3 linked regions of the Oryzias latipes genome follow. The protein of the gene in region 1 interacts with the protein of each later gene in a pairwise test. Links are inferred from orthologs where the notes say so. Each region holds a gene or a part of one and is shown on either strand. Other genes may lie near its edges.

The links.
Region 2: the proteins of asna1 (region 1) and gpx7 interact in binary tests that used the Homo sapiens proteins (3 or more experiments, as listed by UniProt). The two-hybrid records come from large-scale screens. The link is inferred for Oryzias latipes from reciprocal best matches to the Homo sapiens genes GET3 and GPX7.
Region 3: the proteins of asna1 (region 1) and aspartyl/asparaginyl beta-hydroxylase interact in binary tests that used the Homo sapiens proteins (3 or more experiments, as listed by UniProt). The two-hybrid records come from large-scale screens. The link is inferred for Oryzias latipes from reciprocal best matches to the Homo sapiens genes GET3 and ASPH.

The regions. Positions count from the first base shown.
Region 1 is NC_019859.2:35,305,805-35,308,555, forward strand, and holds the end of asna1 (ATPase ASNA1), read left to right. Parts: intron 1-1,108; coding exon 1,109-1,306; intron 1,307-1,389; coding exon 1,390-1,518; 3' UTR 1,519-2,180; downstream 2,181-2,751.
Region 2 is NC_019862.2:22,280,207-22,284,653, reverse strand, and holds the start of gpx7 (glutathione peroxidase 7), read right to left. Parts: upstream 2,930-4,447; 5' UTR 2,817-2,929; intron 2,744-2,816; exon of another isoform or gene 2,646-2,743; 5' UTR 2,605-2,645; coding exon 2,473-2,604; intron 2,327-2,472; exon of another isoform or gene 2,212-2,326; intron 479-2,211; coding exon 217-478; intron 1-216. UniProt on the Homo sapiens protein: It protects esophageal epithelia from hydrogen peroxide-induced oxidative stress. It suppresses acidic bile acid-induced reactive oxygen species (ROS) and protects against oxidative DNA damage and double-strand breaks.
Region 3 is NC_019878.2:3,471,736-3,476,158, reverse strand, and holds the start of aspartyl/asparaginyl beta-hydroxylase, read left to right. Parts: upstream 1-1,488; 5' UTR 1,489-1,637; intron 1,638-1,766; 5' UTR 1,767-1,809; coding exon 1,810-1,963; intron 1,964-2,034; coding exon 2,035-2,100; intron 2,101-4,423.

The sequences.
Region 1 (2,751 bases):
ACCGGTCCACTTCGCTAGTTAAGTGCGGGAGCGGATTACTTCTTTTCTATTTTGTTTGTTACTTTTTCTGTTAAAGTCACTTCCCTCAGTTTATACTGGATCATCGCGGATTAACCATTAGTTGGGAAATAAAATGATAAAAGCAAAATAACGAATAGCAGTTATATAAGAACGAAAAATGTAAACACCCCCCCCCCCCCCCCCCCCCCCCCCCCCCCCCGACGATGTCATCGTCTATCCCGATGGTTGACAGCAAACACCGTCAACAGCCAAATTAGGGGACATCGCCCAACCCTAGTGCCCTTTGTTTAGTCACGAGGCGTTAAACGTCGGCGAAAAACGCCGGCAAAATTCGTCCCGGTGTGAACGGGCCTTTAATGTGGAGAAACAATTCTCAGATGAATACAATAGCAGACGTAACCCGTGCATCATTTCCTTACATTAACCCCCCCCCCCCAAACATACTGAACATAGAATAGGTCAGTTCAAAGGCAATCATTTTAGTTTAATGTTAGTCATTTCCACTCCGGAAACTTCAAAGTTTAAAAACAAACAGCAACCATCCCGTAAAGCGATCGCTGTGCTTTGGTATGACGGAGCTTAGATCTCGGCAGCGTTAAATCCCAGGTCTCTGGCGCGGCAAACCATCCTGCGAGGAGAACACAGAGCACGCCTAACGCCGTGGGCGTGGCGTCTCCTCCGTGGATCCGCACCGGGTCGGGTTTTGCTTTTGCGGTCAAAGCGACCAGCGTCCGAAAATGTCGGAGGGCTCACTCCAAGCAAGTCCCCCTGTGGGGGGCCTCCGTCACCACCCCCTTATTTAGTCTTTTAATGAAGTCCCCCCATTGTTTAGCTTTTTTCTTTTAAAGAGTAATGTACATGGTGTTCTGTTGTTGGGGTTTGGTTCTGACGACCAGGCGGTCGTCAGAACCAAACCCCAACAACAGAACTCGACTCTGGTGTTCCGTCGTTGGAGTTTGGTTCTGACGACCGCCTGGTCGTCAGAACCAAATTTTATAACGGCTGTGACCAGAGTCGAGTTCTGTTGTTGGGGTTTGGTTCTGACGACCAGGTCTGGTTCTGACGAATGTCTCCCTGCTCTCTTCAGGAACAGACCACCTTCATCTGCGTGTGCATCGCCGAGTTCCTCTCCCTCTACGAGACGGAGCGGCTCATCCAGGAGCTGGCCAAGTGTCGCATCGACACGCACAACATCATCGTGAACCAGCTGGTGTTCCCCGACGCCGAGAAGCCCTGCAAGATGTGTGAAGCGCGCCACAAAATTCAGTCCAAGTACTTGGATCAGGTACGAAGCGTCCCGGCGTCTGCCGTGAAACGGCGTGAGGTGGGATCCGCGCGCTCATTTCTGCCCCGTGTTCTTCCTCACAGATGGAGGACCTTTATGAGGATTTCCACATAGTCAAGTTGCCTCTTCTGCCCCACGAAGTGCGAGGAGCTGACAAAGTTAACACCTTCTCCAAGCAACTTCTGGAACCCTACAAGCCTCCAAACAAGTGATCCTCCCCGCAGACGCCTCCTCCACCCTGACGCCTCCTTCCAGCCGCCCTCAGATCCTCACGAAGCCTCAGCGCAATCCGCTCCGTCCCCCCCCCGCAGGGAGGGGACCCCACCCGCAGCACTGCGACGGCGCCGCCCATCCCGTCCTCCGGTCTTCATCGGTCTCGGTGTGTTTCCACATCTGATCAACAAGCCCCGCCCCCTCTGCTGTGCACTTGTTGGTGATTCCAGTGAACGTGTTTTTTTATTTCCAAATAAAACTGTTTTTTGACCTCTCCATATTCTGAGCAGACGCGTCTGCGCAGATCAGAAAGCAGGTCTCTCCGGCCGCCGTGGCAGCAGACGTGTCCCCGCCTCTCTGCGCTCGTGGCGTTAAAGCCGGCGCTCACCAGTGACATTTGGAATGAAGCTAAACGGCGGGCGTCTTACCCATACGGGGATGGTTTCCACTCAACATCCCTGCATTGATTGTCCTTCAGCAAAGTGCTCAGCCACGGGACCGTGACACCTGAGAACACAGAAATGTGCAGGTAGAACGCAGGTCAACTCCTCCTCTGAAACTCCCCTCTTCGTCAACGAAGGCTTCTGAGTCGGCGAGAATCTTTTTCTATAGGTTTTCTTTAAGTGAAACTGGCAGTGAGAATTAAACGCAGTTGCCTCAACTGGCAGTCTCCTGTTTATTCCTTAAGCCAGTGGTGGGGGGGGCTGGAGACTGACCCGCATGCAGATTGTCTCTGATGGAGCATGAAGCCCGTCAACCTGCACCAACACCCCCCGCTGAGAAAAGGGGATTCCTTCGCCGTCGTCCTGCCTGAAGCCGTCAGAGGAAGGACTGAAGGGTTCATTTACTTCACCCCAGTGTTGTCAGGTAAACCGTTACAGCCAGTGGGAAATCCACCGGTGGGTAGGAGGGGGGGTTGCAGCTCCATGCAATCATAATCTACCTTAAAGTATTAATGTACAGTAGCATTTCATTGACAGAAGTAAGTATTTGATCCCCTGGTAACCATTCAGAGTCCTGGGTCACACAGACCCGTTAGACTCTCCTTATCAACCGTCTGTCCCCTGTTTGAACTGATCACCTGTAGAAAAGACACCTGTCCACAGAATCAGTCCATCAGACTAGAGAGCTTTCAGTGGATTTAAAGGAGAAGATTGTAGACCTGCACCAGACCAGACTGGACTACAAAGAAGCAGGAGGTTACCATGACAACCGTTGGTGCAGCATCACCA
Region 2 (4,447 bases), on another chromosome or scaffold:
GCAGCTTTTCTCTTCCTCAGAATCCGATGATTCACGTTGATCGCTTTAGCGGTCAAAGTATGTATGTCAAAGTATGGTATGTCAAAGATTGTTTGTTATTTAGGTCTCCCCGCTGACATCTCCTGAGTTAACAGATTCAATTCTGCACAGATTAAAGGGGGTTATCTTTGTGAGCAGTAGACATTTGCAGCTCTTTTGGGGGATCAAAGATCTTACCAGCAAGATACTTGTAGACATTATGGGCTCCTGTTCCAACTACAGCGATTTTGCTGAACAGCGGGAAGGAGACTCCATAGACTCTGCGCACAAAGCTGTCGATTTCCTTGTCGCTGCCCGGCTCCTGCTGCCCGAACTGGTTGCAGGGGAAACCCAGAACATTGAAGTGACTTGAGCCAAAGTCCCGCTGGAGCTGCTGCAGGTCTTTGTAATGTTCTTCGGTGAAGCCACATTCACTGGCTACGTTCACCACCAGCGACACCTGAAGAAACACAAATACAGTGACAACAAGCCGGCAAAAAACATTTCCCCAAATTTGCTTTCATAGATTCACTCTGATGAAGTATGTTTTTGGTGTTGTGGCATTTTCTGAGGATGGAGGACAAAAATTCTGCTCAAAACTACATTTCTAAGTACTTCAACATTCTGAACCAGGAGCAGACAAAAACATGCTGTTGAAAAAAAAGATCGTATTTGTTTTGAGCTCCGTGCTCCGCTCCATTCTGATGCATCCACTTGGAGACAAATAGATCCAAGAACATCTTCATTTTCCTCGTCTGAGCAGGCGTCTTGCTCAAAACCATACAACTGGATAGCTCTAATATTGCTCGCCATTTTTGTTGCACCGCTAATTTTAGGTTGGGGGAGTGAGAGAGAGTAAGCAAATGTTTATATGTTTTTATTTTGGCTAAAAACAGCATAATCATAATTAAAAGACCACTGGAAACACTTTTATAAGAGATCAAAAGATGATCGGAGTGGGTCTTTATATTAATTTTAGAAAGATATGTGTATTATTTTCTTTTTATTTCAATGTTTATTTTAAATGATTGGGTTATACTATAAAGAATAACTTTTATAGTATGAAAAAGGTTCAATAAGTTTTTAGCAATTATGTCCCCCCCCATGAGAGGTCGATGAATTTACCAATTTTCTTGGTTCTGAATAAAAACAATAAATAGAAATGAAAGAATAAATTATCTTCTCTCGTTCAGTCAAATCGGGCGACAGTGGCTGAGGTGGTTGAGCGGGTCGTCCAATGATCGAAGGGTTGGCGGTTCGATCCCCGCTCCCACCAGCCAAAATGCCGTTGTGTGCTTGGGCAAGACACTTCACCCTCCTTGCCTCCAGTGTGGCTCCACTGGTGTGTGAATGCGCATGAATGATCCCGGTGATGGTCAGAGGGGCCGTAGGCGCGAACTGGCAGCCACGCCTCCGTCAGTCTGCCCCAGGCCAGCTGTGGCTACAACAGTAGCTTACCATCACCAAGTATGAATGAGGAGTGAATGAATAATGGACACACTAGCGCTTTGGGTGTCTTGAAAAGCGCAGATAAATCCAATCCATTATTATTATATTATAAATCAAAGTCTATATGATCTTTGATCTACTGCACGCTTTCTTCTGATAGCAGTTTAAAACTAAACGGGAAACATTTAATAATAAAGGCAAAAAAAAATCTTTTCTCTCTCCTTTATTACATCACGTGATACATCACGTGAAACTGTTAGTCATAATGCAAAAGGAATCAATAAAATCTATAGGCTGCAGGTCCCAAACACAAGTGTTAGTGCAGATCAGCACATGCAAGAGCTTCATTCATGCTTTAAAGGGTGCAGTGTGTTCCTCTCGTTTATTTAAACATAAACAAATCATAATGTTTAAAATAAAAATCTATAGTCCTCCCAAAATAAACAAAACAAAGCATCAGATACGATGCTTTCATTGAAACCAAAGTACAAACTGTTGAGCTCTTGTTGTGACTTGAATAACTTAATATTTTGTGTAACTTTCTGCTTTGACTTTTAATCTTCTCATTCTAATTCATTTTGGTTTCGCCCGCCTGTGATGTCATCACTTTTGAGGACGTTCATCCAAAAATGCAGATAGAAAGAATTGCGAAAACAATATTGTAATAATAGGGCTTTAATTTTTCGTGTGCATTTTAATGCATCAGTGAAATGTTGCGTTTGTGGACAGCTTGGATCGTGGTACCTTCACTAGTAGTTCATGGGAGCTGCAGAGCTCCTACAGCTGCAGGCCTCCTGCCACGTAGACTACCGAGAGGAGCCCGAGCGCCCCACAGCATTCAGACAAGTGTTAGTCCCATCTGCAGACAGAAAGTTAAAGCACTCTCTTAAAAGATGCGCTCATGCCGGCATGCAAAAGGAGCGGAAAGGTCCCGCAAAATATATTCCATCCAGGTTCGGCGCAGGAAGAGGTTCTGTTAGTTTTGTTTATTTCATTTGGACTCACCGAACCCCGGTATTTTTCTAGAGACACGAGCTTCCCTCTGCTGTTCACAACTTTGAAGGTGTAAAAGTCCTTTTGTTTGCTTTCAGAGAGACTGAATAGTGTTACAAAAACGGCGAGCGCTGAGCGGAGCATCTTTTCTGCCGAACTGCCAGCTCAGCTGCAAACTTCTGTCACTGTCAAGGTAAAAGTTGTGGCACGTGACTTCCGGAGGAAGGTTGGAAAAATAAAATGAATGCAATTCGTAAACATCCCAATGACTACGTTTCCTTTAAAAAATAGTAGTATCAACAATTTTAAAAAAGAAAAAAGAATATTAAACAAAAAAATTATTCCTTATTACTTACTTTAAAACTGCCAGGTCTGTGGAAAACTTCTGTCACCATCAAGCTACACGCTGTGGCACGTGACTTCCGGGAAAAGGTTGTAAAAATAAAACTATTGCAGTTCCTAAACACTCCAATGACTGCGTTTCCTTCCAATGAATAATAATAATAATAATAATAATAATAATAATAATAATAATAATAATAATAATAATAATAATAATAATAATAATAATAATAATAAAACAAAGAAATAGAGATAAATAAAAATATATGTATTCTTTGCATGACAGGTTGAAAAATGGAAAAATTCAAACCAATACCATTCGTGGACATTTAGAAAAACTTGAATTTTCCCTTTAAAAGATAGGTTTAAACAAAAAAAAACAACAACAACACAGACCGTAAGTAGGCCTATATAAACTTGAATAATCTAAAATCAACCCTTTAACAGCCTGTACAACCATACAGTCCAGCAGATTAAAAAGCATTTTTGTAAAAACAAAGATTGTGTTTATTTCCCCAAAGCAATAAGCAGCAGGAAAAGTAAAACATGTTTTCAATGATTTTGTCTTAGTTGAGTAGTTAAGTAGGGTTAAATCAATGCTAACTAAGTAACAATTACCTTTAACGATTACCATGCTTTCATTTTTCTTCAGCTAGATAGCTAATGTGGATGGGTGAAAGTAAAAGAACCACCTTATATTAATGGTGGAATTTCCGTGCAGACTTGAACGCAGTACACAATACGCCCTCTTCACCATCATCACTGGCACTCCCACAATGCAGCGGGCGAAATGTATTAACATGGCGTCAGTGGTCGCTGTTTTGACCAGGGCCGTGGGATTTGAACAACATGACGCGGAGCCTCACCATGGAGAGATTTAAACCATAATCCGGAACCCACCTCACACTTCAAAGTGAGTCTGTGCTTGCTTATGAGTGGGGTAGCGTCCGACCACGTCCCTTCGTTTTTGTTTTTTTGTTTTTAATTGCCGTGCGGCAGCGATGTACCCGATCTTTGATGTGTTTTTGTAGCTAGCTCGAGCCTCATCCACCGGCTAGCTAGCTTAAAAACGAACTCTGGGACGTCAGAATCCGCCGGGAACTGAACGTTAACGATTTAAAAAATAAACACTGGCGTTCCTGGGTTTCAAATAAGGCTGTTTATTTTGTTTACATGGGTGCTGGCACTTTCTAAACTAGTCTCACAGTTAGTTAACCGCTCTGTTTTTAAAGTTTAGCTAACGACCAGGCTCGGTGTTGTGCTCCTGCCTGCACCCCAAAACCGACGTGGGACTGCTGTTGAGAATCAGGGATCGATTAACATCGTGAGAGCAGGTGAACGTGAACGCATCAGATGCTTGGGTGCATCTGATCTAGTTACGTTTCCGGAGTCCGGAAAATTAGGTTTCGTTTCACGCTCACGATGAGGGATTGCAGTGTAGTGCTTTCGTTTACTTTGTTTTATGTGTCACTCTTGAACCTTGAGATAAGATAAGAACGGTTATCTGTCATAATGTAATTTTCTCTCAATTTAGTTAGTTTTTATGTCTAGCATAACTTATTTTGAATTAAAAAAAACTTAGATGAAATACAATTTACTGGCAATAGATCTTAAGTTATGATATGAGAAACATTTGCACTGAACT
Region 3 (4,423 bases), on another chromosome or scaffold:
AAGACCGGGAAGCTCGCATCAGGAAGTTTACGAGGAAATGGCGCAGAGAAAGAACGCAAAGAGCCACTCCAGAAAAGGTCAGTAACCTTAGCTGCTGGTGTTTGTCTGCACATCTGAACTGTTTTTGCAGACACGCTGAAGCTCATCTGGATCAGAACACAGGCTGCCTTCAGGGTCTGGGTTCTGATCCAGATTTAGAGCTCCAGCAACGGTGATGATGATGCTGCCTTCACGGTCCCTGCGTCATCATCAAACCAATATAACGGTTAAATGATGAAGTCTGTGTGTTTAGTCCAGGCCGAAAGACGCTTTTCTGTGCGATGACTAAATGTGGTCATGGGGCGTCGGTGCTCCAGAACCGAACGGTACCGTACCGGATCGGATTGGAACTGGTCTGACGCGGTCCTGTTCGGGTTATTTTGCCTGAAGATGTGTCAGAGCCTCATTCTGAACCAGACGGACCCATGTGGGAGTACAGATGCTCTTAAACCCGCCTCTTCACTCCTTCATTTAACCGAGCTAAGCTAACTTAGCCTCCTCCTCCTCCTCCTGCTCTCGTAAAAGAAATTCAACTTTTTAAAAATGTTTGCAGAGTTTCTGCTTGTTTTCATCCCGGTGTTCAGTGATATTTCCCTGCATATACATGTTTAAGCCCCGGTTCACCAGAACGCTTTCTGGAAGTGACCTTAAGTGAAACGTTTGGCGTTTTCCTAATGATCGGGGGGCGGGGCTATGTTATCATTTTTGATATGACGTCACAGTAAAGCGGGGGGCCTCCTGGTGGCCTGACAGGTGTGACACTTTGTTCAGAGAGTTGTCTCATCAGGTCTTACCCTGTTAGAGCTTTTCTTTTTGCAGAGGCTGTGGTGTAGTGTTTGACACTGGTTTCACAACAGAAAGGTGCAGGTTTGAATCCCAGCTTAGTGTGGTGTTTGCGTGTTCTCCTCATGCAGGTGTGGGGTTTCTCCAACATACCAAAAACACGCTGCATAGGTTAATCGGTGGGTCTGAATTGGGCTTGTAGGTGTGAACGTGCATGGGCGTGAGTGTGCAGCCATGCCAGGTTAGATCACCAAGTAACCCGTTGGGGCTTCACCCATTCTCCATTCTCTCCGTTTCAACCTTTGAACAGAAACCAGCAGACCTAAAACAGGTTCTAAGACAGCTTTGGTTTGGTAAAGCATCACTGTGGAACCTTCAGATACACTCCAGACTGTCCTTCTAACCCCAACAGCAGAGCAGCAGCTCCTCCTTGTCCTGTCCTGCATTCGGAGGTCATCTTTTGGGCCTGCTCCTCTCAGCGTGTGTTCTTCCGGTAGCAGGAGGTGGATGGTTTGTTTTTGGGTTTTTTTTCTAACGTGGTCTGGATAAAGCAGCCTCAAAACCAGTTTGATCTTGGTTCAGTGAGAAGACGAGTGTCAAGGTTACTTGTTGGTGTGTTTGTCCTCTCTGGCATCCGCTCCACTCACAGGGCCTCACAGGGTTTTGTCGGCTCTAATAATAGTGTGGATCAGGTTCTGGCTTTTCAGGAGCCTCACAATCTTTGTGGCTTTGGAAGAGGGAGGAGCTGGCTTTCTCCTGCTGGAGTCTGGATACTTTTGTTCTGCTTTTCTTCTCATTTTCTGCCACTGATACGGGTCAGTGTTTGGCTTCACTTTGTGGCGTTTGTTCTTTTTCATGTTTTTGTTTGTCCTCAATCCGTCCCTCCTCCTGTTACTCCTCCTGATTCTCTCCTCTGAAACAAAACTCCTCATTTGTTCCTGAAGCTGCTGTGTTGTATCCGGGGTTCTCTGAAGCAGCAGAAAGTCCATGCAGCGATTCCGCCACTATGAGAATTCCTACTCCTCCTCCCCACCTCCTGCTGCTCCTGTAGAGGAGATTCACACTGAGCAGCTGCAGGAGGAGGAGGAGGAGGAGTACACTGAGGAGGAAGAGGAAATGCAACCTTTGATACAGGAGTCAGGTAGGTCTGAGAAGAAGCTTCTACTGTGGTTCTTTGAGGTTTCCATCAAAGCTGCCATGATGCTCCTTCAGGAGGCGTCACCGAGGAGGAGGTCTTGAAGGAACAGGAGGCTGAGGTCCAGGAGTCGGGTAGGGAAGGTCAATAAAAGCTGCTGAGGCATGGATTGTTCTGGACAAACAGTGTGAGAAATGCATCATGGGTGCTCCCTCCTGCATCTCTGAATGTGTTCCGCTTGACCTTTGAAGTTCTGCATGTTACAACCACTGACCTCAGAGGCCCCTCCCCCTGGCGTTCCAAACAGGAAGTGGCTCCAAGAAGCCGAAATCCCATAGACGTCTACAGAGAAATAAACAGCTGTTACTCAGTCATTCTTCTGGTCAGAAGAACCTTTCTAGATCTGATACTTTTTTCTTCTTGATAATCCTTTTTTTTTTTTCATTATACTTTTTCGTAGCGCAAGTTATGCAAGTTCTGAACCGACTAATCTGATTCATCAATAAAAGTAGGTTGTCTTGTGTCCAAAGCTCAAAACGTTTGACAGATTCTCCCGAGCCCGCTCTCACGTGGTAGGGGTGTGGCCTTCCAAAAGGCTCTCTCCTGATTGGTGAAAGGGGTTGCCATGGAAGCAATGACTCAAACCAATCACTGCTTACTGACGTCTGGCTCCAACATTGCGGTGTCCGTATTGAGAAAAAATGGCGACTGAAATGACTATTTGGTTGGAGCCTGAATTTTTATTTTCTATGGATGATGTCACACTGACTGGATCAAGTTGGCATATCCAGTCAATGGTTATAACCCAAACAAACTGCTTCCTGTCGTGGATTTTCACAGTCGAAGCCTCTAATGAACGTCTGGTTTGAAGCAGACGGGTGAAGTTCTGCTCCACTGCACCAACTCTTTGATTTGTTCTGGTTATGATGAGAGATTTTCACTTCAAGTGTTGCTGAGGATTGTTTGGTTTTAGTCGGATGCGAGCTTTTTAAACCTACAATAAATTAAATAAAATGATGGTGAGCTTGAGAAACATAAACATGGTTTTAGTTTGAATCCCATCAGTGTTGAGATTAAAATTGTGTTTCTGAGTATTTCATTATTCAAATTGTGCTGAATAAGGAGCAGACAAAAAACACAGTTTGAAAAAGCTTGGTTGTTACCTAGAAACTACAATCAGCAGGTCACAGGCTTCCTGCTCCGCTCCATTCTGATCTAATGAACTCCTGTTCTCTGCAGAAACTATGTCCCAGAAAAAAACAAAAGTTTTTTGATTTGGGCTAAAAACAACATAATCATTACTAAAAGACCACTGGGAACACTTTGAAAATAGATCAAAGTAGGACCTTAATGAGGATCGATGTGAACTTCCGTCCCACTCGTGTCATTTATTCTGAAATCTGTTTCTCTGCTGCTCCTGCATGGTCAGGATGCTGATCACCGGCTGTTCTTTAGTTACGCAGCATCGCATTATTTATATTGGTACCAACTGTTGGAGCCAAGGCGCCTGGTTTCCGTCACGTCTGTCCAAACATCTGTCCGCTCTGAGCAGGTCCATGTCAGGACAAACATCAAACTGCACAGAAGACCTCCTTTCTGCAGAAGAGCTCAGCTCCACCCGCTTCTGATGCCACCACCACCCAACGGAGAGCCCTTAAAGGGCCATTCCAAAAGCAGACGGATGATTCATTTGTCCTGCAGCAGCTGCTGTTTCTCTCTTTGACTGCACCCTATTTTGGGGGGCATCCTGCATCAACAAAGCAACCTCTCCCTCCTTCACCTTTCACCCTTCTTTAGAGTCCACTCACACCAGTCGATCTGCACCGATCCATGCAACCTGTCCTTGTCCATTATCAAAGTGCAAGAGTTTGATTAAACATGGGACCAAGGTCAGAGGTCAGATCGGGTTGCTGTGATTCCTGCTAAAGATGACACAAAGACAAAACCAAACTAAATGTGTCACTGCGCTCTTCTCTGTTTGCAATTCCTCACATCAGCAGCAAAACTTCATTTCTTGTGTCAACTCAAACCTGAAGATCCCAAATATCTGCTGCGGTTTTTCATTAAAGCAGTGTGTCAGATAAAACTGACCCTACAGACAATTTTGACTGTGTGGTTGCATTCTATGGGAGCGATTCTGAAGCATAAATAAAAAGCAAAGTCAAAACCCGAAATGCTTTTTCATTTTCAAAATGAAGCTGCATTTTTTGACTCAAAATTAAAATAAAAAAGCAATCCGTCAATATGCTTTTTCATTTCCTTCCTCAACACTGCTTATTCTGTCACTTAATTCTCTGGTAAATGTGTAGCATAATTCATTTAGAAATGTCTAATTTGACAATTAAAGTGGATTAATAGAAATGCTTTTTCATTTTCAAAATGAAGCTGCATTTTTTGACTCAAAATTAAAATAAAAAAGCAATCCGTCAATATGCTTTTTCATTTCCTTCCTCAACACTGCTTATT